Anolis sagrei: one gene and its partners. The protein of the gene in region 2 purifies or fractionates together with the protein of the main gene of each other region. This does not show direct contact. Links are inferred from orthologs where the notes say so. Each region holds a gene or a part of one and is shown on either strand. Other genes may lie near its edges. The genes, in order: POLE, CIAO1 and CIAO3.

Evidence for each region.
Region 1: the proteins of CIAO1 (region 2) and POLE purify together in Homo sapiens (affinity purification with western blotting; 3 studies listed by BioGRID, with this or other methods). This does not show direct contact. The link is inferred for Anolis sagrei from reciprocal best matches to the Homo sapiens genes CIAO1 and POLE.
Region 3: the proteins of CIAO1 (region 2) and CIAO3 purify together in Homo sapiens (affinity purification with western blotting; 3 studies listed by BioGRID and IntAct, with this or other methods). This does not show direct contact. The link is inferred for Anolis sagrei from reciprocal best matches to the Homo sapiens genes CIAO1 and CIAO3.

The regions. Positions count from the first base shown.
Region 1 is NC_090034.1:47,407,032-47,417,255, reverse strand, and holds the start of POLE (DNA polymerase epsilon catalytic subunit A), read right to left. Parts: upstream 4,375-10,224; 5' UTR 4,308-4,374; coding exon 4,228-4,307; intron 1-4,227. UniProt on the Homo sapiens protein: Catalytic component of the DNA polymerase epsilon complex. Participates in chromosomal DNA replication.
Region 2 is NC_090027.1:21,929,790-21,940,707, reverse strand, and holds the start of CIAO1 (probable cytosolic iron-sulfur protein assembly protein CIAO1), read left to right. Parts: upstream 1-6,975; 5' UTR 6,976-7,030; intron 7,031-10,783; 5' UTR 10,784-10,810; coding exon 10,811-10,918. Other genes in the region: TMEM127 (transmembrane protein 127), read right to left, coding at 2,068-2,311. UniProt on the Homo sapiens protein: Key component of the cytosolic iron-sulfur protein assembly (CIA) complex, a multiprotein complex that mediates the incorporation of iron-sulfur cluster into extramitochondrial Fe/S proteins.
Region 3 is NC_090034.1:20,513,305-20,524,410, forward strand, and holds the start of CIAO3 (cytosolic iron-sulfur assembly component 3), read right to left. Parts: upstream 5,181-11,106; 5' UTR 5,042-5,180; coding exon 4,976-5,041; intron 2,275-4,975; coding exon 2,179-2,274; intron 1,993-2,178; coding exon 1,849-1,992; intron 1,517-1,848; coding exon 1,384-1,516; intron 1-1,383. Other genes in the region: testis-expressed protein 2-like, read right to left, coding at 8,629-8,778, 9,334-9,454, 9,767-9,979, 10,346-10,489.

The DNA of each region.
Region 1 (10,224 bases), on a different chromosome or scaffold from region 2:
GCATGATGGTACTTGAAATACCTCCACTCACTTCCCAAGACCGTTGGGACCCTCATCCAATGACTGATCAAGATCAAATTTGGCACACAGACCCACTCTACATCATACTGCAGTTTGGAGGAGGGTGGACCATAGATGATGGAACTTGCAGTGCCTTCACTCACTTGCTGAGACCACAGCAACATGCATCCAATGATTGATCACGACCAAACTTGGCAAACAGAGCTCCCATTACCCACTCTACATCCTGCTGCAGTTTGGAGGAGGGTGGACCATGGATGATGGTACTTGCAGTACCATTACTCACTTTCTGAGACCTCTGTGACCTTCATCCAATGACTGATCAAGACCAAACTTGGCACATAGATCTCTTATGACCCACTTTATGCCCTGGTGAGGTTTGGCGGGGGATGGACCATGGATTATGGGACTTGCAGTACCTTTCCCCAATTCCTGAGACCACTGCAACCCTCATCCAATTACCGATAAAGACCAAAGTTGGCACACCGAGTCTCCATGACGCACTCTACATCCTGGTGCGGTTTGGAGGAGGATGGGCCATGGATGATGGTACTTGCAGTACCATTACTCACTTTCTGAGACCTCTGTGACCTTCATCTAATGACTGATCAAGACCAAACTTGGCACATAGATCTCTTATGACCCACTTTATGCCCTGGTGGGGTTTGGCAGGGGATGGACCATGGATTATGGGACTTGCAGTACCTTTCCTCAATTCCTGAGACCACTGCAACCCTCATCCAATTACCGATGAAGACCAAAGTTGGCACACCGAGTCTCCATGACGCACTCTACATCCTGGTGCGGTTTGGAGGAGGATGGGCCATGGATGATGGGACTTGCAGTACCTTCACTCACTTCCTGAGACCATAGCAACATTCATCCAAAGACTAATCAAGACTAAACTTGGCACACAGAGCCCGCATGACCCACTCTACGTCCTGCTGCAGTTTGGAGGAGGATGGACCATGGATGATGGGACTTGCAGTACCATCACTCACTTTCTGAGACCTCTGTGACCTTCAACCAATGACTGATCAAAACCAAACTTGGCACATAGATCTCTTATGATCCACTTTATGCCCTGGTGGGGTTTGGAACATGGATTATGGGACTTGCAGTGCCTTTCCTCAATTCCTGAGACCACTGCAACCCTCATCCAATTACCGATAAAGACCAAAGTTGACACAGCGAGTCTCTATGACGCACTCTACATCCTGGTGCGGTTTGGAGGAGGATGCACCATGGACGATGGGACTTGCAATACCTGCACTCCCTTCCTGAGACCATTAGACCTGCCAACAATGATGGATCAGGACTACAATTTGCACAGAGAGCCCGCATGTCCCACTCTACATCCTGGTGCGGTTTGGAAGAATTTGGAGATGGATGATGGGATTTGCAGTCACTTCACTCACTTACTGAGACCACTGAGACCCTCTCCAATGACTGATCAAGACCAAACTTGGCACACAGGGCCCCCATGACCCACTCTACATCCTGGTGCACTTTCAATGAGGGCAGACCATGGATGATGGGACTTCAGGTACCTCCACTCACTTCCCAAGACTGCTGCAACGCTCATCTAATGACCAATCAAGACCAAACTTGGCACACAGAGCCCGCATGACCCACTCTACGTCCTGCTGCAGTTTGGAGGAGGATGGACCATGGATGATGGGACTTACAGTACTATCACTCACTTTCTGAGACCTCTGTGCCCTTTATGCAATGACTGATCAAAACCAAACTTGGCACATAGATCTCTTATGACCCACTTTATGCCCTGGTGGGGTTTAGCGGGGGATGGACCATGGATTATGGGATTTGCAGTACCTTTCCCCAATTCCTGAGACCACTGCAACCCTCATCCAATTACCGATAAAGACCACAGTTGGCACACCGAGTCTCCATGACGCACTCTACATCCTGGTGTGGTTTAGAGGAGGGTGCACCATGGACTATGGGACTTGCAATACCTGTACTCCCTTCCTAAGACCATTACAACTGCCAACAATGATGGATCAGGACCACAATGAATACAGAGAGCCTGCATGGCCCACTCTACATTCTGGTGCGGTTTGGAAGAATCTGACAATGGATGATGGGACTTGCAGTCACTTCACTCACTTCCTGAGACCACTGCGACCCTCGCCAATGACTGATCAAGACCAAACTTGGCACACAGAGCCCCCATGACACACTCTACATCCTGGTGCTCTTTGGAGGAGGACAACATGGATGATGTGTCTTGCAGTACCTTCACTAACTTCCTGAGACCACTGCGAGCCATATAAATAACCCGTGCAGCGCCCCCAAGCTAGTATATAAAGATACACAGAGTTGGACACAACTAGACTTAATGTCAGGGGGAACCTTTACCTTTACTATACACACACAGAGAGAGTATATGTATATTGGACATGGGGTCATGGCTTACTGTTATTACTATTATCACCATATTTATTTATGTGCAGCTGTTCTCTCTTAAGTGAGACCCATACATACAGATCAGTTATATATGTGTGTGTTTGTTGTGGCGCAGTGGGTTAAACTGCTAAGCTGCTGAACTTGCTGACAGTATTTGAAAGGGACAATGATATGTTGCATGTTCGAGAATAGGCAAACCAGACAATTTCCACATCAACACTGGCAAAGGAACAGCAAGAAATACTGTTAACGACAAGCAGAAAGAAATTACATATATTTTCTCATTACTTTGTTTTCCAGAACACCAGACTGGGCCACAGCAACATGTGGCAGGGGACCGCTAGTCTCTCTCTCTCTCTCTCTCTATATATATAAATGCTCTGTGCATAATGAGTACCTTAAAAACAAAAGAACCAATGAGCGAAATCATACCAAATTTGCCAACAAAACGTCTCACTACACAAGGAGTGACCATCAATCAAAAAATTATGATTTTGTCATTTGGGAGTTGTAGTTGCTGGGATTTATAGTTCACCTTCAATCAAAGAGCATTCTGAACTCCACCAACGATAGAATTGGACCAGACTTGGCACACAGAACTCCCCTGGCCAACAGAAAATACTGGAAGGGTTTGGTGGGCATTGACCTTGAGTTTGGGAGTTGTAGTTCACCTATATCCAGAGAGCACTGTGGACTCAAACAATGATGGATCTGGAACAAATTTTGGCATGAATACTCAATATGCCCAAATATAAACACAGATGGATTCTTGTAGGTTTTTTCAGGCTATAGGGCCATGTTCTAGAGGCATTTCTCCTGACGTTTCGCCTGCATCTATGGCAAGCAGCCTCAGAGGTAGTGAGGTCTGAGGATGCTTGCCATAGTTGCAGGCGAAACGTCAGGAGAAATGCCTCTAGAACATGGCCCTATAGCCCGAAAAAACCTACAAGAACCTAGTGATTCCAGCCATGAAAGCCTTCGACAAAACACAGATGGAGTTTGGGGGAAATAGACCTTGACATTTGGGAGTTGTAGTTATTGGGCCAAACATCCCACACAGAACCCCCATGACCAACAGGAAATACTGTGTTTCCTGGTGGTCTTTGGGGACCCTTCTGACTCCCCCCTGGTGACACCCCCCCCCCCCAGGGTCTTGACTTCCCAGGTTGAGAAATGCTGCCTTAAGGCCATCCAGTCCAACTCCCTTCACCAGGGCAAGAAAACATAATCAAATCCCTCCTGACAAAGGGCCATCCAGCCATTCACACACACACACACACATATGTGTATGACAGATGCAGTATCAAAGATTTGAAAGGGACCCCTAAAGAAGGACAATAATATGTTGCATGTTCCAGAGTAGGCAAACCAGACACTCTCCACATCAACACTGACAATGAAACAGCAAGAAATCCTATTTACAAGCAGAAAGGAATTACATATATTAGAAACCAACACTTTCTCATTACTTTATTTCCCAGATAAACAGACTGGGCCACAGCAACGTGTGGCAGGGAACCGCTAGTATTGATGTAAACACAAAACCCACCGATGTTTCATTGCCCTAAACGGCATTTTATTCAAATTTCCCCCAATATTTTGGTCTGAAGCCCACTTTGTACCCAAAGGGTCACGCTCTCTCAGCCCCAAACGCGAAGGGGGGGCCGGGAAAGGAGGCAAGGCCCTCTGCACATGCCCAGGAGTACACCGCCCTAGCGGGAAGGCCCTCTGCACATGCTCAAAGCGGCTGAAGACCCTGGCCCTGGGTTCCCTCACCCCTTTGGCGCCTCTCCTTGGCCTTCTCCGGCGGGAGCCTCCGCTCGCCAGCGCCGCCCACCGCCTCTCCGCGTCGCCATCCTCGAAACTTCTTCACTTTCCCGCGCTGAGGGGAAACCGCGCGAGAATCCTCCCGCTCGCGGGATCACTGTTGCTTCCTCCACGTGCCCCGCGCCAATCACATTCCTTTCTCCGGTAAGTAACAGATGGGAGTAGCCCCGCCCACCCGTCCTACAGTCTTCCCATTCGCGCCGTAAGGAAGAGGACAAGCGCCCTCTGCCGGCCTCCAAAGGAAACTGACGTGTCCCCTCCCACAAACAGGGTGTTTTGCACTGGCTCCCTCCCTCCCATACCAGAAAAGGGAAATGCAAAAGACTGCTCCAACTTCCGTACAGTGGCCCTTATTTCTCATGCCAGTAAGGTAATGCTCAAGATCCTGCAAGGAAGACTCCAGCAATACATGGAGCGAGAGTTGCCAGATGTTCAGGCTGGGTTTAGAAAAGGTAGAGGAACAAGAGACCAAATTGCCAATATCCGCTGGATAATGGAGAAAAGCAGGGAGTTTCAGAAAAACATCTACTTCTGCTTCATTGACTATTCTAAAGCCTTTGACTGTGTGGATCATAATAAATTGTGGCAAGTTCTTAGTGGGATGGGCATCCCAAGCCACCTTCCCTCTCTCCTGAGGAATCTGTACAAGGACCAAGTAGCAACAGTCAGAACTGACCACGGAACAACAGACTGGTTCAAGATTGGGAAAGGCGTACGGCAAGGCTGCATCCTCTCACCCAACCTTTTTAACTTGTATGCAGAACACATCATGCGATGTGCAGGGCTGGATGAATGCAAAGCTGGGGTGAAAATTGCTGGAAGAAACATTAACAACCTCAGATATGCAGATGACACCACTCTGATGGCCGAAAGCGAGGAGGAGCTGAGGAGCCTTCTAATCAAGGTGAAAGAAGAAAGCGCAAAAGCCGGGTTGCAGCTAAACATAAAAAAAACCAAGATTATGGCAACAAGAATGATTGATAACTGGGAAATAGAGGGAGAAAATGTGGAGGCCGTGACAGACTTTGTATTTCTAGGCACAAAGATTACTGCAGATGCAGACTGTGGCCAGGAAATCAGAAGACGCTTACTTCTTGGGAGGAGAACAATGTCTAGTCTTGATAAAATAGTAAAGAGTAGAAACATCAGACTGGCAACAAAGATCCGGCTAGTCAAAGCCATGGTATTCCCTGTAGTCACCTACGGATGTGAGAGCTGGACCTTAGGGAAGGCCGAGCGAAGGAAGATCGGTGCTTTTGAGCTGTGGTGTTGGTGGAAAGTGCTGAGAGTGCCTTGGACTGCAAGAAGATCCAACCAGTCCATCCTCCAGGAAATAAAGCCCGACTGCTCATTGGAGGGAAGGATACTAGAGACAAAGTTGAAGTACTTTGGCCACATCATGAGGAGACAGCAAAGCCTGGAGAAGACAATCATGCTGGGGAAAGTGAAAGGTAAAAGGAAGAGGGGCCGACCAAGGGCAAGATGGATGGATGGCATCCTTGAAGCGACTGGACTGACCTTGAGGGAGCTGGGGGTGGTGACAGCCGACAGGGAGCTCTGGCATGGGCTGGTCCATGAGGTCACAAAGAGTCGGGAGACGACTGAACGAATGAACAACAACCCTCCCTTTGCAGTAGGGATGTGCGGTCCATTAAAAAAAAAGTCCAAAAGTCATTACAAAACTCGGGGACGTGGACATTTCGTTTCTAAATTGTTTCTGAAGTATAGGTAGTGAAAAATTCGTGAATATAACGAGAGTAATGAAATTTCGTTACTATTTCGTTATAGTAATTGTGCATAATTACTCTAATTGGGGAAACTTCCGGGGCTCCTTCTTCTTTAAAGCTATTGGAGTGAAACTTGCTACAACGGTAGAACACGTTGATCACTGTTAGTCCATCAAATTTCAGAACGTTTCAATTATTCATAGATTTTAGGGGAAATTTTCAACATTTTTATAATCAACATTTTTTTAAAAAAAAAAAAACCCTGCAAGAGTAATCTCCTTGAATTTTACGAGGGGTATTTTTAAGTAAGGTCCTTGGGCTTCAGAGGGTCTTTTTGACTAGGTCACCTGAGGAATTGAGGACTCATGGACATGGTAATCACTTGACACAAAGGACATTCCCCCCAACTGCGAGGGGAAGGGGATGTCGCTCTTTCTTCCAACAAAGCCATTTCCCCTCCCTAGAAGAAAATCCAACGATCTTAACAAGGATGACAATATCACCAATCTTTTGACAATAAGCTGGCTCTGTGGGGCCAGACGAAGGTGTTCTTTCAACTCTGTATCAATAGTCAGGTCAGAGACTAGAGGGCTTACAGCTATCATCCTTGATCGCTTGTCATTCAGGTCTGAGAAGGACCATTCATAATCCAATCACCTGGACATTCCTTCATTGTTTTCCTTACGCCGTGCCTCCTCTCACCTCATTAGCTGAGCGGCCGAAGTGGGGCCTGGGCTCTGATTGGAGGAGCCGCATCCACCCCTCGCCGTCACGATCAATCACAGCAAAGCCAGCTTTGGGGGGCGGGCGTGGGAAATTTGAATTTGACAGCTCTATATATTCTGTATTTTCCTGCTCAGGAGCATGTCGGCTCTTTGGCAGCTTACTGCGGTCATCATCCTTTTCAGCTGGAATAGAAAATAAACTTCGGTGGCCTTGCTTCATCCTGGTGAGATTTATTAGGAAACAGGGAAAACTTTTATTAGTGCTTATTGTCTCGCCAGTAGGGCTGAGCGGTTTCGTTCGTTAATTTCGTAATTCGTTATTAATTTGTTATTTTTTTGGATAACGAAGCGATATTGAACCATTCAGGAGCAACTAAAAAACGAAACGAATTTTTCAATTCGTTTCGTAATTGTTTCGAAATCGTTTCGAAATTGTTTCAAAATCGTTTCGTTATTATTTCCGCATGTCTGGTGCAAGTTTTAGGGTTGCTGTTTGTTTTATCAGTGAAAAAAAATATAATTATCACACCAACAGTCAACAACAGAGGGAGAGGGAAGCTTCAGAAGTTCCCCCTGTCCCACTTGGAGGTTTTTTTTAGTGTATTGCACGATCGTGTCCGCCATTAATGAATCGATTCGTAATTGTTTCGTAATTGTTTTGTTATTGTTTCGTAATTTCCGAAATTTCGTAAATATCGAACTTTTTTAAAGAAAAATTTCGGAATTCTTTTAAAAATCGAAACGCAAAACCCCCCTAAAAACGAATTGAGTTTAGAAACAAATTTTTCCGTGGTTGGACAGCCCTACTTGCCAGGCATAGCGGATCCTCTTTTTGGGTCTTGCTGGCCTCTGTCTTGACAGCGCCCCCTAAAATCGTGCTCTATATCACTTTGACCAAGAGAAAATACTGTGTTTTCTGATGGTCTTTGGTGACCCCTCTGACACCCCCTTGTGACCCCCCCCCCCAGGGGTCCCAACCCCCAGGTTGAGAAACATTGCTCAAAAGGGTGCAATCCAGTTACTGGAGGGCCTTGAAGTTGAACTGTAAAGTCTTGACCCCAGTCCAGTTCATCAACCTGACTTATGCTCCTATGCAGGTGAATGATTGTCCCTCTCCCTTTAATGTATGGGGAATCCTAGAGTTGGAAGGGAACTCCAAATATTGTCCAATCTAACCCCTTTCTGCCATTCAATAAGAAATGAATATGATGGACTCCCTATGTCAATTGAGGCTTTTTTCAGCTTGTTTGACTCATAACTGTTTCACTTTATCCTCATGCATTCATCTCCCTGCAATCTAGAGTGGGAATTACCGTATATACTCGAGTATAAGCCAACCCAAATATAAGCTGAGGCATCTAATTTTACCACAAAGAAATGGGAAAACAGATTGACTTGAGTATAAGTCGAGGGTGAGAAATGCAGCATTTATGGGTCAATTTCAAAATAAAAATAGATACCATTAATTGAGGCATCAGCTGGTTAAATGTTTTTGAATATTTACATAAAACTGTAATTCAACATAAGACTGTCCAACTCTGATTCAACCATTATTCTAACCTTCTTTAATGTAAATATGCTTACGTATCCTTCCAATAATAATAAATAGAGTAAAATAATAATAGTAATAATAATAATAATATGATGTACCATACAACAATATTAGATTCCCAGGATGTGGAGTTCGGAAGGGGATGGAGGGACGGGGGGTTCCATTGCTCGGGGGCCCCCAATAGAAGTGATGATGGGGAGGGGGAGATACGGGAAAGGGAGAGTTAAAAAACCAATTCAGCCAATTCGTGAGCAAATCCTGAGGAAATTTCCAAAATGTTCTCCCGATATGGTAAACTTGGGTACCAAGGTAGATGGCCCTCCCGGATTAAAGGTGGTGCTGTTGAACGCCAGGTCTGTCAATGGTAAGACATCAACCATCCAGGACTTAATCCTCGATGAAAAGGCAGATCTGGCATGCATCACAGAGACCTGGTTGGACGAAGCTGGAGGGGTTAATTTCACCCAGCTTTGCCCACCAGGCTACTCTGTGCAGCACCAACCAAGATCTGGGGGGCGGGGAGGCAGAGTTGCAATAGTCTATAAAGATTCCATCTCCTTAATCAGGGGCCCTGCCTTACAGTCAACCATGTTTGAATATGTCCACCTAAGGTTAGGAGGCCGGGACAGAATAGGGATGCTGTTGGTGTACCGACCACCCCGCTGCACCACAGCCGCCCTACCTGAGCTTGCAGGGTTGGTCTCAGGCCTGGCATTGGAGTCCCAGCGGCTTATAGTGCTGGGGGACTTCAATGTCCATGCAGAGACCACCCTTTCTGGGGCGGCTCAGGACTTCATGGCCACCATGGCAACTATGGGGCTGTCCCAGCTAGTATCTGGCCCTACCCACTGTGCTGGACACACACTTGACTTGGTTTTCTGTCAGGGTTGGGAAGAGGGTGGCGGTGTGGAGGAGCTGTCAATCACTCCTTTGCCATGGACCGACCACCACCTGATCAGGTTTAGACTTTCTGCAGCTCCCAACCTCCGCAGGGGTGGTGGACCCATTAAGATGGTCCGCCCCAGGAGGCTTAGGGATCCAGAGGGATTCCTGACGACTCTTGGGGATTTTTTCCGTCTCCTCGGTTGGTGATTCTGTTGATGCTCTGGTCTCCCATTGGAATAATGAGTTGACTAGGGCAATAGACACGATTGCTCCGGAGTGCCCCCTCTTAAGTAGCCGAGCTAAACCATCTCCTTGGTTCAACGAGGAGTTGGTAGAGATGAAGCGAACAAAGAGGTGGCTAGAGAGCGTGTGGCGGAAAGAACCGAGCGAGTCAAACCGAACACGCCTATGCCTTTACTTAAGGGCGTATGGCATGGCAATAGAGGCCACACAAAATTCCTTCTATTCGGCTAATATTGCATCTGCAAGGAACCATCCGGCAGAGCTGTTTCGAGTAGTCAGAGGGCTGTTGAACCCCACCTCTCAGGATGGGTCCCCTGACGACTCAGCAGCTCGCTGTGAAGCTCAGTACTTTGTAGACAAAGTCGCTTCAATCCGTTCGGGCTTTGACACCACATTAACGGCAGTCTCTGAGGATGTAACATGAGCATCTGCTTGTCCAGTTTTGATGGATTCATTTCGATCTGTTCAACTCGAGGATGTCATCAGGATTCTTGGGGAGGCGAGGCCTACCACATGCATCCTAGACCCCTGCCCATCCTGGCTGGTAAAGGAAGCCAGAGGGGGTTTGGCAGAGTGGGTAAAGGTGGTGGTTAATGCCTCCCTTCGGGAAGGCAACATTCCAGCCAGCTTAAAACAAGCTGTTATAAAACCACTGTTGAAAAAACCATCACTGGACCCCACTCAATTCGTCAACTTCCAGCCAGTCTCCAATCTCCCCTATTTGAGCATGTTCCTGGAACGTGTGGTGGCCTCGCAACTCCAGGAGTTCCTGGTAGACACAGATTATCTAGATCTGGCGCAGTCTGGCTTTAGG
Region 2 (10,918 bases):
TAATTTATAATATATACTTTCTGTTCATATGTTTTTGACTTTGTTGCACCCCACTTCAGGAGAGGCAGGTAATAAATAAAAAAAATATATAGGCAGGCGGTTCCCAGGTTAGAAACACCTGACTTACAAATAACTCATATTTAAGAATTGGGGGGAGGGTTTAGACAATGGGAAGTGAGAGAAATCTACCCTACAGAGAGGAAATTCACTCCCAAAAGAGTTATTATCAGTGGGAAAAGGTGTCTCAACTGAAGCTTTACCTCCAATTCTTGTTTCCACAAGAAGCCACATTTTTCTATATCCAATTATCACAGGGTCAGAAAGTGAGGTGGAATCTTCTGAACACCTCAAATCAAGGAAACACCACAGGGGTGTTAACCCTTCCCTATACTATCCAAAACGTATGTATGGCTGGTGTTACACTTAAGAAATGTTCCTGTTTCAACTTAACACACAAATTCAATTTAAGAACAAACCTACACAATCTCTCTTCTTGGAGCATGCAAGGAATCAGTTCATGTGTGTGTGTCAACTATAAAATAAGACACATGAAGCTGTTTGGACAGGCTATGCCCAGGGAGGAAGTTGAGCCTAGGACTTTTGGATACTGTTACATTTTTTACACATGTTTTAATGTGTATAGCGCTGATATTTTAATCGTGTTATGAAGTGGCATTGTGTTGTTATTGTATATTCTTTGTATGTTAACACATGTTGTGAACCGGTCCGAATCCCTCTTTGAAGGTGAGAGGGTCGGTATATAAAACCTCGAAATAAAAATAATAATAATAAAATAAATAAATAAATTTTTGTTCAGGCTTGAGCTATGCACATGCAGAGAGAAGAGAGAAGCAGAGAGAAACAGATTGATTTGCTTCTTGGCTGCTGAAAGAAGGTTATTTATCTATTTTATTTTGTATAAAAAGCATTGCATAAATTAGTATAAAAGTGATAAAAATAGGTGTACAAGCGGCTAAATATCTTTTGACCAAAAACGGGCAACAGCAATGGCAGTGTCTGTAGCCTCCAACAATTCCTCCTCTGTACATGAGACAGGGCACAATGGACAAGCGTACAGATGCAGAGTTGTCTGTTCTGCTCCACAGTCACACAAGGTATGGGATTCTTTTAGGTAGTGCCATTTGGCCAGGTTGTCTTTTGATCTGCCCAATCCGCTTCTGAGTGTATTTAAGGACTTCCAGGTTGCCCACTGTTTGTTTGCCCCTGGAGGAAGACCCTCATGGGGGGCCATCCAGTTGGGATTTCCTGATTTAGCTGCCCAGAGGGATACCCTTGCTGTTGCTGGAGGGATGCCAAGAGGAGTGGTAGTTCTCATAAAGCTTTTCCTAGATTTGAGACTGCTGGGAGGAGGCTAGTAGCCATGTAGTGGATGGCTTTCAGTGTTCAACCTTATTTCTCTCACATTTAGTAGCAACTTCCCATCGCACATTGGGGGGGGGGGGGGGGGGGCAATGCCAGCTAGCTTGTAGAGTTTATCAACAGGTGTAGGTTTAAGACATCCTGTGATTATTCTGCATGTTTCATTCAATGCTATGTTCACCTGTTTTGTGTAGGCAGACCTATGCCAGACAGGGCAGACATACTTGGCAGGTACTTTGTGCTTGGTGTTCAAGCAGTGTTTCCTATATGCTAGTGTTCGATCTAAGGTGACACCAAGATATTTAGGATGGAAACAATGTTCAAGAAAGGTTACTCATATGGACACAGAAAGGGCCATTTTGAATTTCTCATAGAAGGACAATATGTGAGTTGGTGAACCTGATCATACTGTACACATGTTGTATGAACCTGATCATACTGTACACATGTTGTTCACTACTTGTTCTTCAATGTTCATATGCATGGCATATTTTCTTTCTCTGGCAAGGTAGTGTGTGGGCTGATCCAACATGAAGTACACTTGGTTTATTTTACATTACGCCACATCTTGTTCGCAATCTGGGGACTGCCTATATTGTTATTACCCTTAAAATATTGTGCTGTTTTTCCAAAGATTGCTTCAAATGTTCATTTTAAAGCTCACCCCATCCCCCATGTCCCTCTCACCTTTGAGTAACTCGGGGTCAACGTATCCGAGCACATCAGCGACGCCCAGCTCCTGGCGCGCGCAAGTGCCCCCATGAATCCGTAGCCAGGCAGGCTCCGCCAGTGCAGTGCAAAGGGCAGTGATGGAGAGTGCGCCAGGCAAAGCCGAAGCCAGGCTCCTCTCCGGCTGCTTTGGCAAGGTGCTCCCATCCTGGCCTCTCCGCCGGCGCCCACCAGGCAGCACCGAGCCACTAGGGGTGTACATGGGGCCAGACGCTCCCTTCCGAGATCAAGGCAAAGAGTCTAAAGACACACGATTGTGTCCAGAAGGAATTGAGATGACAACGAGGCCTTCAGCGAGATCTTGTCAATGCGTTTGGGTCCAGGTCCGGAGAAAGCTGAAGGCCTGCAGACATAACAGATTGTTAAATTGAGAAGGCAATGAGCTAAATGTGAATTTAAAAGAATGTGAACCTTTACCAAAGTAGAGAAATTGTTCATATGAATATTACTCATCTATATATATAAAAATGCTCTGTGCGTAATGAGTACCTTAAAAACAAAAGAACCAATGCACGAAATCACACCAAATTTGGCAACAAAAGGTCTCACAACACAAGGAGTGACCATCACTCTAAAAATTATGATTTTGTCATTTGGGAGTTGTAGTTGCTGGGATTTATTGTTCACCTAAAATCAAAGAAAACTCTGAACTCCACCAACAATGGAATTGAACCAAACTTGGCACACAGAACTCCCATGAAACAACAGAAAATACTGGAAGGGTTTGGTGGGCGTGACCTTGAGTTTTGGAGTTGCAGTTCACCTACATCCAGACAGCACTTTAGACTCAAACAATGATGGATATGATTCAAACTTGGCACGAATACTCAAGTGTAAACACTGGTGGAGTTTGAGGAAAATAGACCTTGACATTTGAGAGTTGTATTTGCTGGGATTTATAGTTCACCTACAATCAAAGAGCATTCTGAACCCCACCAATGATAGAATTGGGCCAAACTTTCCATACAGAACCCCCATGACAAACAGAAAATACTGTGATTTCTGGTGGTCTTCTGAGACCCTTCTGAGACCCCCTCACAACCCCCCCCCAGGGGTCCCGACCACCAGATTGAGAAATGCTGTCTAAAGGCCATCCAGTCCAACACCTTTCCCCAGGGCAAGAAAACATAATCAAAACCCTCCTGAGAGTCATCCAGTCTAGATATAGATAAATAGATATGATTCACACACACACACATATGCCAGATATAGTATCATAGATTTCAAAGGGAACTCTAAAGAAGGATAATGATATGTTGCATGTTCTAGAGTAAGCAAACCAGATAATCTCTACATCAACACTGACAAGAAATACTGTTTACTCACAAGCCAATAGTATTTTCCAGGTCATCAGAATGGGCCACAGCAATGCGTGGCAGGGGGCAGCTAGTGTTTATATAAAAATTTTAAGTACAGGCAGTCCCCGATTCACAAGCATCTGGCTTACAAATGACTCCTAGGTAAGAACGAGGCTGAGATGACAGGAAATGAGAAGAATCTGCCCCTCGAGGGAAGGGAAATTCACTCTTGGAAGAGTTAATATCTTGGGGGAAATGGGTTTCCACTGAAGTTTATCTCCAATCCTTGTTTCCATAACAAGCCAATTTTCCCAAAAACCAATGTTCCCAGGGACAGAAAGTGAGGTGACATAGAATCATAGAGTTGGAAGAGACCCCAAGGGCCATCTAGTCCAAACCCCTGCCATGCAGGAAAAGCACAATCGAGGTACCCTTGACAGATGGCCATTCAGCCTCTGTTTAAAAGCTTCCAAGGAAGGACCTTCCACCAGACTCCGAGATAGGGTTCCACTGCTGAACAGCTCGCATGGTCAGGAAATTCTTCCACATGTTCAGGTGGAATCTCTTCTCATGTAATTTGAATCCAATGTTCAAACCCTAGTCTGCAGGGCAGCAGAAAACAAGCATCTCCCTCTCTCTCAGGACATCCTTTTACATATTTATACATGCCTATCATGTCTCCAGGACCCCCTGGTGACACAGCAGGTTAAACTGCTGAGCTGCTGAACTTGCTGACTGAAACGTTGGCGGTTCGAATCTGGGGAGTGGGGTGAGTTTCCACTGTTGGCCCCAGCTTCAACCTTAGCAGTTTGAAAACATGCAAATGTAAGTAGATTAATAGGTACCGCTCTGGAGAGAAAGTAGCAGCACTCCATGCATTCATGCTGGCCATATAACCTTGGAGGCACCTACGGACAACGTCAGCTCTTTGGCTTAGAGATGGAGATGAGCACCAACCCCAGAGTCAGACACAACTAAATTTCATGTCAAGGAAAAACATTTACCTTTACTACCATGTCTCCTCTCAACCTTCTCTTCTGAGGCTAAACAGACCCAGTTTTTTAAGACCTCCCAGGAATTATTCATGGTCTCCAGACCTTTGATGGTTTTAGTTGCCTTCCTCTGGACACCTTCCAACTTAGAGGCAATATGTCTTTAAAATTGTGCTGCCCAGAACTGGACGCAGTGTTATTTCAGGTAAAGAGGTCTGACCAAAGCTGAATATTACCTCCCTGGATCTAGACACTATACTCCTTTTGATGCAATCCAAAATCCCATTAGCTTTTATAGCTGCTGCATCTCATGTTCATCTTGTTCTCCACAAAGACTCCAAGATCTTTCTCATGTGGGCTGTTGTTGAGCCAGGTGTCACACATCCTATATCTTTGCTTTTGATTTTTCCTGCCTAAATGTCGTATCTTACATTTGTCTTTGTTGAAATGTATTGCGTTAGCTTTGGCCAAATGGCTCTCTCATATGTTAAGATTCTTTTACATCCTGATCCTGTCCTCTGGAGTATTAGCTTTCCCTCCTAATTTGGTCCCATCTGCAAACTTGATAAGAAGCATGCTCTCTACCTCGCCTCTTGGTGCTGAAATGTCCACTATGCTTGGATACTGGTTGTTGCATGATTAATTATGTTTTTATGACGTTGTATATGTATTTGCATTTTTATTGTGTATATTTTAACTCTATTTGACTGGGCTTGGTCCCTATGTAAGCTGTCCAAAGTCCCTTCAGGGAGACAAATAAATAAAACACAGAGGTATAAAAACAGCAGCCTTAAAACTTACTAACATAATACACAACAAAAAAAACCAATAGGAGAATTACTAAGATGGGGATGATCAGATTATAAAAGGAACAGGCATGGAATAGTTTAAAATAGGGGATTGGAAGAAGTGCAGAGAATCTTTGTCCATGTCCTTAATGAAGATCCTGAACAGAACTGGGCCCAGGACAGAGCCCTCTTCATGGCATGCAAATAGTCACCTCTTTGAGTTGTTGTAGGTTTTTTGGGCTATATGGCTATGTTCTAGAAGCATTCTCTCCCGACGTTTCACCCACATCTATGGCAGGCATCCTCAGAGATTGTGAGGTCTGTTGGAAACTAAATAAGAGAGGTTTATATATCTGTGGAATGATGTCCAGAGTGGGAGAAAGGACTCTTGTTGTTGGGGCTAGGTATGAATGTTTCAATTGGCCACCTTCATTAGCATTTGATGTCCTGGCAGTTTTTAGGTGTGGCTTGTTACTGCCTAGGGGAATCCGTTGTTGAGAGGTGATTAGCTGTTCCTGATTGTTTCTTGTCTGAAGTTCCCTTCAATTGTGGTGCCCAGAATTGGACACAATATTCCAGGTGTGGTCTAACCAAGGCGGAATAGAGGTGTAGCATGACTTCCCTAGATCTAGACACTATGCTCCTATTGATGCAGGACAAAATCCCATTGGCTTTTTTTGCTGCCACATGACATTGTTGGCTCAGGTTTAACTTGTTGTCCACGAGGACTCCAAGATCTTTTTCATGGTTGGAGTTTTTATATTTTAACTATCTGTGTGTGTAGGTTTTCTGTCAACCGTATGGCCCAATTGTTGATCTGGATGACTAGAACTTCTAGAAAAGGCCCCTTTCCTCTATTTTCTTTTTTCATGGTGAACTGGATGTTTGGGTGGATGCTGTTGAGGTGGTCTAGGAACCTGTTTACTTCTTCTCCTCCATGGCTCCAAATGGTGAAGGTGTCATCCACATATCTGCCAGAGCTTTAATGGTGCTTCTTTTTTTGAGGGTGAAGATGAGGAACCGCCTGAACATCTTCTAAACTGGGGCACCGGCAACAAAGGAAACCCCATTGGGATGGGATGTTGACCTTTCCTCCAAGCTAGTCTCTCCCATGACCCACACACACCAGTTAGAGCGGTATCAAACAGGTATAATAATCAAGCCGGGAAAGGAATGGGGCCTAGAAGCCTCTCAAAGGGGCCTCGAGTGGAAGAGGCCCCGCCCGGCTCCTCTCCTCCCATCTCCCTCCTTCCCACTCCAGAGCCTCACCTCGGTCCCTCCGCCGCCTCAGGGGCCTCGAAGCCCGGCCATGGGGGCCCCTCACCGCTCTCTTTCTCCCTCAACCCGGCCCTTCCGGTCCCGACGAGCCCAACGAGCGCTTCCGTTTCCGCCTTCCGCGGATCGAGCGTGCGTGTGACGTCAACACGCCGTGCGTCAGGGAGAAAGAAAGCCGACTCTGGCGTCGTGACGTCACGCAGCCTGTTGTTCATAGACTCATAGAAATAGATTGTTACCCCGTTTTCTCTCTCCATGCCGAGACTTAAAGCTTTTCACAGTGGAAAACATTGCAATGCAACTTCAAATATACAAATATCAAAAAAGTATTATGATTATTATATATTATCAGTATTATTATACTTAGTATTATAGGGGACAGGTCCCCTTAAATCGGGATTTTTCCCCCCGCGCAAAGCTTCTTGGGAGTTGTCGTTTCTCCGCCACGAATAACAACAGCGACGGGTGGGAAAAGAAACTACCAATCCCGAAAGGCATAGCGGCGGGCGCTCTTTTGGCTTCTCTCCGAGGCTGCGCAGGCGCAGAGAAAGCCTCAGCCTACACACAGGTAGGAAGTGGTGGATAACTTCTCTGGGCGACTCCTGGGATTCCATAGCGTTGAACCATGGCAGTTAAAGTGGGATCAAACTGTATTAATTCCGTAGTATAGATGCAGCCTTGGCGCTCAGGCTTTAATAATATAATAACAATATAATATAATAATATATGATAACAATATTATTTTAGATGGAGCCTTAGATCTCACAGCTGTCAGGCTTTAATAATAATAATAATAATAATAATTATTATTATTATTATTATTATTATTATAAAGTGAAGAGAGAAGGGCCAGGAAAGCAGTTCCACGTTGTCTTCTGTGCTATACTAATAATATAATGTAATAGTGTATAATATATTGTATATACATATATTTATAATATTATAATGTAATACAATATAATACTACTAATAATACAATATTTTATATATATATATATAAATAACATGTAATATTACTTTTTGTCGTGTCAGGAGCGACCTGAGAAACTGCAAGTCGCTTCTGGTGTGAGAGAATTGGCCGTCTGCAAGGACGTTGCCCAGGGGACGCCCGGATGATTTGTTTTATCATCCTTGTGGGAGGCTTCTCTCATGTCCCTGCATGAAGAGCTGGAGCTGATAGAGGGAGCTCATCCGCCTCTCCCCGGATTTGAACCTGCGACCTGTCGGTCTTCAATCCTGCCAGCACAGGGGTTTAACCCACTGCGCCACCGGGGGCTCCATGTAATATTATGCTAATAATATCATATACTAGCCATCCCCTGCCACGCATTGCTGTGGCCCGGTCTGTTGATCTGGAAAATAAAGTAATGAGAAAGTGTTCGTTTCTAATATATGTAATTTCTTTCTGCTTGTGAGTAAACAGTATTTCTTGCTGTTTCTTTGTCAGTGTTGATGTGGAGAGTGTCTGGTTTGCCTACTCTGGAACATGCAACATATAATTGTCCTCCTTCAGGAGTTCTCTGTGCATGTGTGTGAATCATATCTATCTATATCTATGGCTGCATGACTCTTTGTCAGGAGGGCTTTGATTATGTTTTCTTGCCCTGATGAAGGGAGTTGGATTGGATGGCCTTAAGTATTTTCTGTTGGTCGTGGGGGTTCTGTGTGGGAAGTTTGGCCCAATTCTGTCATTCGTGGGTTTCAGAATGCTCTTTGATTTTAGGTGAACTGTGAATCCCAGTGACTACAACTCCCAAATGTCAAGGTCTATTTCCCCCAAACTCCATCTGTGTTCGTATTTGGGCGTATTGAGTGCTTGTGCCAAGTTTGGTCCAGATCCATCATTCAGTCCACAGTGCTCTCTGGATGTAGGTGAACTACAACTCCCAAACTCCAGGTCAATGCCCATCAAACCCTTCCAGTATTTTCTGTTGGTCAAGGGAGTTCTGTGTGCCAAGTTTGGTTCAATTCCATCAAGTTCAGAATGCTCTTTGATTGTAGGTGAACTATAAATCCCAGCAACTACAACTCCCAAATGACAAAATCATATTTTTTTTGAGTGATGGTCACTCCTTGTGTTGTGACACATTTTGTTGCCAAATTTGGTGTGATTTCGTTCATTGGTTCTTTTGTTTTTAAGGAACTCATTATGCACTGAGCATTTTTATAGATATAGATAATAATATAATTATTATAAAAATAACATTATAGAATATTATAAAAAAAATAAAAGTGAAGAGAGAAGGGCCAGGAAAGCAGTTCCACCTTGTCTTCTGTGCTATAATATTATAATGTAATACAATATAATACCAATACTAATAATATATATAACATATTACTAATAATATTACAATATAATGGTGTAGTACAATATAGTAAGATATAATACTGATATTGTGCTAAACTAATAATATAATATATTGTATGTGTATATGTCTAGTACACCACTCTGAGTCCCCTTCGGAGTGAGAAGGGTGGCATATAAATGTTGCTCTGCATCTCATGGTGCAAGAGCGTAGTCTATTCAGCACCTTCCAAGTCACCCAGTTTTCTGTGTGCCTGTTAGGGAGTCTCTCATTTGGTATCAGCCATTAATTGAGGTTCTGGGTTTGAGCCTGCCACTTTTGGACTCTTGCTTGCTGAGGTGTTCCAGCAAGTGTCTCTGTAGATCTTAGGAAGCTATTTCTTAATTTAAGGCATTGGTGTGCTGGCTAATATCCGAACAGAGGATGGGCCAGAGATGTCACTGCCTTGGTCCTTTCAATATTGCCTTCTACTTCTCGGCGGATGTCAAGTGATGCAATACTAGCTAAACAGTATAATTTCTCCAGTTGTGTGGGGCTAGAAATCTTGTGATAATGCAGCGTTTCTAGCACCCACTTTTTGCTTGATATTCAAGCAGTGCTTCTTGTAAGTCACAGCACACTCCAGAATGACTCCCAGGTCTTTTGGTGTGCTGCAGTTCTTCAGTGGGATTCCTTCCCAGGTCATCCGCAGAGCTTGAGATGCTTGTCTATTCTTAAGGTGAAAAGCAGACCACTGCATTTTAGATGGATTAGAAATCAGCTGGTTTTCCCTGTAATAGGCAGTAAGAGCACCTAAAGCTTAAGAGAGCTCCTGTTCAGCCATTTCAAAGCTCCCTGCTTGGGCGGTGATGGCACAGTCATCAGCATAGATGAAACTGCCTGTCCCTTCTGGCAGAGGCTGATCATTTGTGTAAATGTTGAACATGGATGGAGCAAGCACGCTGCCCTGAGGCAGGCAATTCTTCTGTTTCCGCCATCTGCTTCTCTGGCCCTGGAACTCAACAAAAAAGCTCCTGTTTTGTAGCATGTTTCTTATGAGGCGGGTGAGGTGGTCATCCTTTGTGATATTATACATTTTTCTCAGGAGGAGGCGGTGGTTTACGGTATCATAAGCCGCTGACAGGTCTATGAAGACAGCTCCTGTGATCTGCTGCCGTTCAAAGCCATCCTCTATGTGCTGAGTCAGGTTCAGCACTTACGATGTGCAGCTTTTGCCTTTCCTGAAGCCAGCTTGCTGTGGAATCAGACATGGGTCTATTTTTTCCATAATTCTATGCAAAATAAGTCTCTCCAGAACTTTGTAAAGATGGCATGACAAGGAGATTGGTCTATAGCTTTCTATCATTGCAGTCTTTGCCTGGTTTCAAGATGGCTATGACTCTTGCTTTCCTCCAGATTTTGGGGATCTCACAGGATGCAGTGCAGTTGTTCATCAGTTCCAGCAGCCAGCAAAAGTTCTTGATTTGTTCCATCCGTACATCATCCAGGCCAGCTGCTTTGCCATTTTTACATTTCCTATGAAGTGGGTGGGATGATGGCAATAATGATGTATTATATTTCTTACCCAATTTGAAGAGAGGTGGGGAAGAATAAGAATAATTTTTAATTATTTGTATTTTATTATGATGATATACAACATATTAAACTACAGAGATAAAACCTATACAGTAAGCTTCCAAGTTATGACCCAAATAGGTTCTGTAAGTTTGTTCTTAAGGTGAATTTGTATGTAAGTCAGAACAGAGACATTTCCAAGTGTACAACTGTGAGCTGTATATATATGTGTGTATGGCTTTCACTCTCTTTCTCTCTCTCCTCACACACATACACACACACACACACGCATAGCTGTGAGTGGTGTATATATGAACCACCTGGCCTTGAGTTATGCTCCATCTTTGTACGTTCATCCATTCAGGAAATGTATGACTGACAAGTTGAAACCCTTCTTGGCAATCTCTCGATTCAAATATTTTTAAAATGATGTTTAATTTTTGAAGCAATCTCCTTCCTAGGACCCAGCGCCTCTGTTTGGGGCCGCCATGAAAGATTCCTTGGTGCTCCTGTCCCGCATTGCTGCGCATCCGGACTCCCGCTGCTGGTTCCTGGCCTGGAACCCAACGGGGACCCTCTTGGCTTCCTGCGGAGGG
Region 3 (11,106 bases), on a different chromosome or scaffold from region 2:
GAGAAAAATGAAATGGAAGACTTGGGGGCTTGGCATGTGCTCAGAAAAGGAGGCATCTTCCTGGGAAGTATGTAATGGAAGAATAGAGTGACAGGCAGACAGAAAGGTCAATGAAAGATGGACTTTTCCTTGCCAACTAACTCATCTACATATCTAAGTCCTTAATGAGGACTACAAGCTTAGGCAGGATGTGGTTTGAGTTTCAACATAACTGCCATGCTATGGAATCCTGGGACTTATCCACCCAAGGATTGTCTACCCAAGAGAAGGCGAAAGACTTGCTTCGTCAAAACAAACTACAACTCCCAAGATTCCCTAGCTTTGAACTACAGCAGCTAAAGGTGCATCAAACTGCATAAATCCTACAACGTGTGTGTACTGCAAGTAACATGGTGAGGCATTCTATTGCATATCGTAAATGGCTAAAAATGATAAAATAAATGGCTCCTAGTACAAATGCTGTGTCTCGCCTTGAGCCAAAAAAGAGAGGTGGGTAATAAATACTATTATTATTATTATTATTATTATTATTATTATTATTTTACTGACACAAAAAAACAGTATGTCACAGCAAACGAGAGATATATTCTGGATTTCATATCACAAAATCACAAGTCGAACACTTCTAGGACAGTGTGATGTATTTTCCAATGATACGTGCAGATCCAAGTAAGGTGGCCTTTTGCAGTTGACAGATCATGATTTTTGTCAATGTTTATTGTTTCCAAATGCCAGAAACCATATTATTATTATTGTTGTTGTTATTATTATTCTATTTTATTATTTATATATTTTTTGTCGTGTCAGGAGCGACTTGAGAAACTGCAAGTCGCTACTGTTGTGGGAGAATTGGCCATCTGCAAGGACGTTGCCCAGGGGATGCCTGGATGATTTGATGTTTTTATCATCCTTGTGGGAGGCTTCTCTCATGTTCCTGCATGAGGAGCTGGAGCTGATAGAGGGAGCTCATCCGCCTCTCCCGGGATTCAAACCTGCAACCTGTCTGTCTTCAGTCCTGCCTGCACAGGGGTTTAACCCACTGCGCCACCAGGGGCTCCATTATTTATAATAATAATAATAGTTTAATTAATTAATTAATTAATATTACATTATATTGTTATTATTATTTTGTTGTTGTTGTTGTTTATAAATGAAGCCTGAACTCTCCCTCTAGATGCAAAGATAACTAAAGTTGCAGTACTTTTGACACCTCTTTTAGGAGAAAAAGTCAACAATAACAAAATGGAAGAAAGGAGAAAAAAAAAGACGGTATTTCCAGTACAGAGACTCCATTAAAGAGAAGCCACAACTGCCCTGAATTTGCAAGCCCTGAGCTGGGGCTATTGAATTTGCTACCATATTGAAGGGAAAAACCTCATTTACCTAATCTTTTGAAGAAGGCAGTCAGTTTCTTGGCTGTGTCCAAAGGAGTCAATTGAAACCTTGCCGCCAAAGAAGCTCTGGATTGAGGCGAGACAGAAACTACCACCAGCTTCCGGGAAGCAGGATCTAATGTCTGTAAAATAATTATTTAAAAAATTAAAATAAATATTAATAATAATAATTCCCATTTATTATTATTACAATTCTTTTTCTAATCGTTACCATTATCATGACTATTTATATTTATTATAATTTATGATTATGATTATCCAGCTTCTTCTTTCTAAAAAAGAGACTCAAAGCGGTTCCCAGTAAAGCCAATACAATTCAAACCTAAACATTTTACCAACCACTTTGTTCTCAGGGTTAAGGCCCACCCATGGCTTGACCCCATGCCCTTTGTCCCCTCCACCCACCCAGGACTTCTGCTCCCATCATCCATAGTTATCCTCATCTGCCGCAGACCTTATTGGCGTCCAAGACCCGGAGGAGCTCTTCGTGGCTTTGCTGTGCAACCAAGACGCTTTCGGCCGAAGTGACGCATCCACTACAAGCCAAGCAGTCATTGAGCGTAATCTTGGCCTTCTCCAGTTTGCGCGAACGGCCGTCCTGAAAGGAAGAAACAGAGCACACTGAGACCTTGTAACACCGCATTTTATTTATGGAGATGTGTTGTTATTATTTTTATGGCTCCATAGCTTGTCATCTGAAAGGGAGCTGGTTATTGATAATCAATACAACACTGTCCAGTATGCAACACAATTACACTGGGGAAAGGGGGGGGGGGCAGATTACCGGATCCACTTGGACGTAGGTTCCATCGTCCTCGATGCGGATCTTAGCGATTGCTTTTCCAGGCTTCTTGTCTACTTTGATGGGTTTGATGCAGTCCTGAAAGAGACCAAGGCAGGACAGCAATGAATGAGGCCAATAAGGCAAAATACAAGCCCAAGAATTAAGCAGAAAGAACCTGCATGTGAGGTTTGGTTGACTTATCATGACATATATACATGACATATATATATACATGACATATATATGGTAATATGGAAGGTAACAGCGCTCCATTAAGTTTGCTGGCCACATGACCTTGGAGGTGTCTACGGACAACGCTGGCTCTTCAGCTTAGAAATGGAGATAAGCACCAATCCCCACAGTCAGAGAAGACTTCATTTAATGTCAGGGGAAAACCTTTACTGGGTTGTTGTAAAAGCCTTCGACAATACATTGAAAACCTTTACCTTTACTATATACAAACACAGGCTGAGTAAGCTTACTACAGCAACAATAATTTATATGATTACATTATTATGATTGCATACACACTGAGGTTGAGGAAACATGCATTATTATTATTTATCTAATCCATTTTTCTCTCTGTATCAAGACCCAAAGCGGCTCACATCCATAACAACACAATTTAAAACCTGTAAAATATAAATATTAAAATGTATAGACACTGCTGTTTTTTCTGTTAAAAATTGTTGTATGCTCTATATGTATATATGTTTTACACACACACACACATATTAAAAGATATATACCTATATAGAGAATTGTAGAATTATATATATAGTTGTATGTTTTATATTTTATTCTCTCTATATATTTGTTTTATTCTATGTGTGTATAAAGAATTATAGAATTATATATAGTTATATATAGTTGTATAGTGTGTGCTTTATTATTTCTCTCTATTTATATATATGTTTTATTCTCTCTATATATGTTTTACTATATATGTATATATAATTATAGAATTAAATATATATTTGTATGTTGCATGCTATATTCTCTATACGTGTGTGTGTGTTCTATTATATATATAGAGAGAGAGAATGATAGAATTATATATATGGCTGTATGTTGCATGTTTTATTCTCTTTATATATATGTTTTATTATATATGTATATAGAGAGAATTATAGAATTGTGTATATAGTTTTATGTTGCATGTTTTATTCTCTCTATATATGTGTGTGTGTTTTATTAAATATATATAAATTATACAAATATATATGTTTGTATGTTGCATGTTTTATTCTCTCTCTCTATATATATATGTTTTATTAAATATATATAAAATTATGCAATTATATGTGTGTGTGTGTGTTGCATGTTATATTCTCTCTCTTTCTCTCTCTTGACATATGTTTTATGCAATTATATTTATTTATTTATTTATTTATTAACTTTATTTATACCCCGCTAACATCTCCCGAAGGACTCGATGCGGCTTACAAAGGCCACGGCCACCAACAAAACAACAGCATACAAATACAACAATAAAACTAATAAAGCAAATAATAAAACATCAAGCAAAACAATAAAACACTAAAAACAATGACACCATGATGCATTTAAAACCTAAGGCTGGGCCAAATGTAATGGACAATTTAAAAAGTGTTGGACATGACAGGTGAAATGTAGAGGTTTTTGGCGGTAGGTGCAATGTACAGACAATCCTAAATCTCTAACAAAGTGCATTTGGGACATGATGCTAGGAGTTTCCTATTCTGGAAAGGCACACTGGAACAGCCAGGTCTTCAGGCTCTTCCTAAAGACTGCCAATGTTGGGGCTTGTCTGATGTCCTTGGGGAGAGAGTTCCAGAGTTGGGGGGCTACCACAGAGAAGGCCCTGTCCCTCGTTCCCATGTTGCATGTTTTATTCTCTCTCTATATATATATGTGTGTGTGTGGTTTATCATATATATAAAGAGAGAGAATTATAGAATTGTATATATAGTTGTTGTTTTTTCCATGTCAGGAGCAACTTGTGAAACTGCAAGTCACTTCTGGTGTGAGATAATTGTCCGTCTGCAAGGATGTTGCCCAGGGGATGCCTGAATGTTTTGATGTTTTACCATCCTTGTGGGAGGCTTCTCTCATGTCCCTGCATGGGGAGCTGGAGCTGATAGAGGGAGCTCATCTGCACTCTCCCCAGATTTGAACATCCGACCTGTCAGTCTTCAGTCCTGCTGGCACAAGGGTTTAACCCATTGCGCCACCGCTTGTATGTTGCAGGTTTTATTCTCTCTCTCTCTATATATATATATATATAGATAGATATGTGTGTGTGTGTTTTATTATATATGTATATACAGAGAGTTATACAATTATATATATAGATGTATGTTGTATTTTATTACATAGATAGAAAACATACACATATACTGAATTATAATATAAAATGAAACATATAGGGAGAGAATTATAGTTATAACTATAAAACCAAAAAGCTATTAAAAGTAGTCAGTTAAAATCACATTAAAACAAACGATGGGCAAGGAACCAGCAGCAAGATCACACTGTCTCAGCCTCTCATGGGAGCCTTTTAGGATAGAATATACAATATACTCAACTTCCCTTAAAATCATACCGATTTCCCCAGTATCTCCTTCTCTGGACCGAGGGAAGCCCATTCAAGGCGCCTGTCCCCCAAACTGTCCTACCTCGCAGGGCTGTATGGGAGGCTTGGCAGAAATATTGAGCTCGAATGGCGGACAAGGCTTCCAGGAGCTCTGGCAGAGGACAAGGAGAGCCCCTTTTAGGGGCCACGGTCGCCCACTCCCCCCGTTCACTCGCCCTTCACCTGCGAGGGTCCGATGAAGTCGTCCAAGTCGGTCAGCTGCAGGACTCCGCTGAAGGGCGACGCCATCTTGGGCAGGTCCGCCCTCCCTCTGTGCGTACGCGCCGCAAAGCGCTAGGACGCGCTGTCGCAAAAGGGAGTGTCGTCGTGAAAGAGACAGGGATGGGAAGAACATAGATGTAGGCAGAGGAGTTGAAATGGATGGATGAGAGAGAGAGAGACTAGATAGATATAGATAGATAGATGCAAGAGAGGGAGAGAGAGATAGGTAGACTAGATAGATATACAGATGAGAGACACACAGACTAGATAGATAGATGAGAGACTTGATAGATACATACCTGAGAGACAGACTAGATAGGCAAATTTATGAGAGAGATAGACTAGATAGATAGATAGATGAGAGAGACTAGATAGAAAGATAGGTAGACAGACACATAAGAGAGAGACAGACTTGATAGATAGATGAGAGACTAGATAGATAGATAGATAGATAGATGAGAGAAAGACAGACTTGATAGATGAGAGACTAGCTGAGAGAAAGAGACAGATGAGAGATAGACAGACTTGACAGATAGATGAGAGACTAGATAGATAGATAGATAGATGAGAAAGATAAACAGACTTGATAGATGAGAGAGAGAGAGAGACTTGATAGACAGCTGAGAGAGAGAGATAGGCAGATAGATGAGATAGAGAGATAGACAGACTAGATAGATAGACAGATATATAGATGAGAGATAGACTCAGATAGCAAGATAGATGAGATAGACTTGATAGATAGATAGATAGATAGATAGATAAGAGAGAGACTAGATAGATAGACAGATAAATGAGAGAGATAGACTTGATAGATGAGAGAGAGACCACTTGATAGATAGCTGAGAGAGAGACTAGATAGATAGGCAGATAGATGAGATAGAGAGATAGACAGACTAGATAGACAGACAGACAGATAGATAGATGAGAGATAGATAGATAGATAGACAGACAGACACAGACAGATAGATGAGATAGACTTGATAGATGAAAGAGAGACAGACTTGATAGACAGATAGCTGAGAGAAAGAGAGACTAGATAGGCAGATAGCTGAGAGAGATAGACAGACTAGATAGATAGATAGACGAGAGAGACTCGATAGATAGGCAGACAGACAGATAGATGAGAGAGATAGACTTGACAGATGAGAGAGACTAGATAGACAGACAGATAGATGAAATAGACTTGATAGATAGATGAGAGAGAGACTTGATAGACAGATAGCTGAGAGAGAAAGAAAGAGACTAGATAGATAGGCAGATTGAGAGAGAGAGATGCGAGAGAGATAGTTAGATAGATATAGATAGATAGGTAGATAGATAGATAGATAGATAGATGAGAGAGACAGACAGACAGACTGACTAGATAGATAGAATAAGATAGATAGATAGATAGATAGATAGATAGATGAGAGAGAGAGAGACTCTCTGGATGTCAGTGAACTACAACTCCCAGCATCCAATGTGAATTCCTTCCAAACTCTCCAGTATTCAAAGTTGCTTGTGATGGGTCTGTGTGCCAGATTTGGTCCTGATCCACCATCAGTGGGAGTCACAGTGATCTCTGAATGCAGGTGAACTACAAATCCCATAATGCTGGGTCAATACAAACAAAGATAGATAGGAACATATATTCACTTTTATTATATAGATCAGCTATGGGCAAACCCAGGCCCTCCAGGTGTTTTGGACCAGTAGGCTGTTAGGAATTGTGGGAGTTGTAGTCCAAAACACCTGGAGGGGCCAAGTTTACCCATGCCTGGATATAGAATATTTATTTCGGACATTTGTATCCTGTCCTATCTCGACCTCCGCAGAGGGACTCGGGGCGGCTAACAACCGGCACACCATGGTGCCACAACCATGTGGGGATCACAGAAAAGAAGGGATCACAGAAGCCAAGACATGCAAAATATTGATGCAAACCTTTTATTCTTTCCAACTGCTCCAACTTCAACCCCAATTTAGCCAAGGTTTGCAAAGAAAGCCCTTTGTTCGGCCGGTGCCAGTCCATCACCGTATCATCAGCTATTGCTTTGTTTACTTTTTTTTTTTGACATTATTATTACTTATTACATGGAAGGTCGAACAGCGCCATGGAGTTACCCAAAGTCATGCTATTGTCTGGGTGCCATCCCATCCCGTCCCATCTTTGATTGCATTGGTATATTATGGGTTATTTCCCCTCTCCTCTCCTTAGGTTTGAATGGGAGGCAGGCGAGTGGGAAGGTGAAAGGCAGGCAGAAGGGACTGATAGCAGTTATGACTCGTATTACTCTCTCTATCCTTTGCAGTTGGGTTCTTTCACTTCCAATGGCAGAATTCGTACCTTATGCTTGCAATTTTTAATTGCATTTTTAAATCCTGAGGGTGTGTGTGTGTGTATGTGTGTGTATTCAAATACTCTCTCCATCCATATATAGGATAGGGTATTTGAATCAAGATTGTGGCATTTTCTTTAAAGCATTTATGGATTTATCTGATCATATATATATCTATATATATATCTACACACATGTATTTACATACATACATGTATATATAAAGAGAAGGGAATCAGAAATCATGGATTCCCCTGATCTACATATCATCATCATCAAAATAGTTTCATCATCAAATACATATATATATGAATTCTGATCACACACACACACATGTATCATATATGTGATCAAGATTGTGGTATTTTTAAACCATTCATGGACTCCCCAGTATATATATATGTGTGTGTATATATATATTCATATATATATGAATTCATATATATATGAATTCTGATCATACACACACACATGTATCATATATGTGTGTGTGGCATTTTTAAAGCATTCATGGACTCCCCAGGATTTCTGGATACACACACATACACAAACACATATATATCTATGATCAGAATTCATGGATTTCCAATCCACGAATCCTGTTTACACACACACGCACATATGTGTGTGTATATCAGCTATATGATCAAGTCCATAGCATTTTTAAAGCCTTCATGGACTCCTCAGGATTTCTGGATATATCCCATATATTCTCTCTTTCTATACATACATACACACACACACACACACACACACACATATGGAGAGAGAGTTCGAATCAAAACCATGGCATATTTTTTCAAGCATTCTTGGCCTCCCCTGAAATGTCCACTTGCTCTTGTGAGCTATTTTGCCCCATTCTCCCTGCAAAATGTCTCTCTGTTCAGTCTGAAGGACCCCAAGGTGGATTTGGATTCACAGTGTGATTTCTTTCAGCAATTTGCGAACACGAGTTGCGTAAGGCGGGCCAATCCCATGCTAGGATAGTCAGCCGCCTTCCGCCACTAGAGGGACCGCTTCTGCAATGCCATTCAAAGGGATTGGCTCTCCCTTTCGCTGGGGTTTCATAGAGGCCCATGATCCTTGATGGAGAGCGTTGAGATGGGAAGCCTTCTGCTGCAAGCTGGGGAGAGAGGGGCAATTTTAGAGAAGTTGAAGGTGTTTAGTGTCTCCCTATTGACCTCTGGATGGGGTCAGCTGAACTCCGCACAACTTGCGAAACAGGAAAACCTCTTGCTTTGACCCATTCCACCTTCATCCCGAAGAAATGATGGATTCCAAATTCAGTGTCTCCCATTAAATTCTTGCTTTAGATCCCATTGGAGAGCTCTTCAACACTTCTTCATGGGAATCCTTCTGGGATCCATCGCCAAACGCCTGGGATTCCAGTCCAGAGTGCATCAGAGGTAATATGAGGTCGTCCATATTTGGCATCACTAAAACTTTCTGGGAAAGGAAATAAAAGGAATACCTAAATGTAATATCATTGATGCAATATCTATTATTGCCTGATCCATACCTGTTGTTATTGTGCGCCTTCAAGCTGTTTGTGAATCTGATCGTCCCAGGATTAAACCCTGGGCCCCATCTATACTGCCATTTGACACAGTTTCATAATGCAATTTAATTGCTTTGACCTGCATTATACGAGAGTTTACACTGTCATATAATGCTTGTTGTTGTTGTTGTTGTTGTTGTTGTTGTTGTCTCTCCATTTTTAAAATACCACGGTTCTATGGTGTGCTCTGGGTAGAAACTGCTATTATTATTATTATTATTATTATTATTATTATTATTATTACAAGATGAGTGCACAGCAGACAAGATCCTCTGCTGGCTGTTGTATTGGATCACATGTCGGACACTTCCAAAGTGTCTAGAGTTATTATTATTATTTTACTGACACAAAAACACAGTATGTCACAGCAAATGAGATCTATATGCTGGATTTCTATTATTATTATTTTCCCATTTCAGGATCCACTTTGACCAAGCAGGTACCTGGAATTCATGCTGAAGCTTCTTCTCAATCCATTCGGTGACATGGATGAAAGTGACCTCCCGTTCTCCCAATTTGGGGCGGACTTTCAGGTCCAGCTGCGGAGGGATGCGGAAGCTATACCTGGAACCAGGTAAGAGAAAAAGGATCCTATTTATTTCCTTTAAGCCTGGATATACATTCTTGCATGAGCTGGAAGGGATCCCCAAGGGCCATCCAGTCCAACTCATTTCTGCCAGACAGGACACCATCCAACTCCTCCCGACAGGTGGCCATTCAGCCTCATTGACATGAGCAGGTTCATGGAGAAATAGGGTTATGGAATAATAGAACTGCAGAGTTGAAAGGAACCCCCAAGAGCCATCCAGTCCAACCCATTCTGCCAGGAAGACACAATCCAAGCATCCCCAACAGATGGCCATCCAGACTCCGTACCAGACCCGGTCCGTAGGTGGTGGCGGGATGTTGACGGTCAAGGTCCCCGTCAGCTCCTGGACCTCGACAGTCAACAGCAGCGGCGTGTTGGAGACCTCCTCAATCTTCTTCTTGATGAACTCATTCTCAGTGGCCTTCTGGAAGTACTTGGACTTGGCAATCTTGTCCACGAAGCGCAGGATCTTCCGGCTGGTGCTGTGGCCGCCAAGGTGGCTGGAAGGGAACAAGAGCATGATGCGACCGCTAAAAAGGCCAACGCAATTCTAGGCTGCATCAACAACAACAATGTACACATTGAGACAGAGGGCATATATAAGCCCCCAAAGCCCAGCAGTCCATTTTAAAGTGTGAATTCTAAACTTACCTTTTGTTATCTTCAGAGTCATTTTTTGTTATGGGTATTTTAATCGTGTTCTTATTTTATTTGTTTGTTTTAAATTCAAATAAATCCCTTCTGTCCTCTCCTGGCACTTATGGGAAGGGCACAGATATAGGATTTTGGCCAAGGTCCCTTTTGGGAAGATGCTGCCCAATGGGAACTCATTGCAATAATAATGTCCCGTATTATCCCAAGCCTACCTCTCCATCCCGGGAGGGGCCCCCCTTTCTCCTGGGCCCCCCAAAGAAGTCTCCACTGAAGGAGGGGCGTCTTCTTCCTCGGAAGAACCAGCGCTGGAGGATTCGGCCTCGCTGTCGGCCAGCAAGACCAAGCGGGGCCTGACTCTGCAAGGAAGCAGCAAGGAGAGAGAAATGAGTGACCTGAGGCCTAAAGACAGAGCCCTGACCTCGGGCAGCAGCATGTATTTGCGGAAGCTTCCTGGGATTAAGACCATGACCCACATCTAGGATCAAGGAGGATTTCCCTTCTGCAAGTAGGCAATTGCTCTGTCCGGAAAAGGAAACCTCTCAAGTCAATGGACAAATAGCCCTGGATTTTAGCCTACTCTGCCTCACCAAATTGCAAACCCCAGGATTCTATAGCAGTATATTATTATTATTATTATTATTATTATTATTATTATTATTATTATTAGATGCTTGGCATTGGTCCAGGCTTTTTCTCCTCCTCCTCCTCCACTTTATTATTAGATACCTGGCATCAGCATCATCAGATGTCTGGCATTGTTCCAGACTTATTCTACCATCTCCTCCTCCTCCTCCTCCTCCTCCTCCTCCTCCTCCTCCTCCTCCTCCTCTTCTTCTTCTTCTTCCTCTTCTTTGCCTGGCATTGGTCCAGGCTTCTCCTTCTTCTCTTCCCTCTTCTTCTCCTTCTTATAATTAGATGCCTGCCATCATCATCATCATTATTAGATGCCTGGCACTGGACCAGGCTTCTCCTC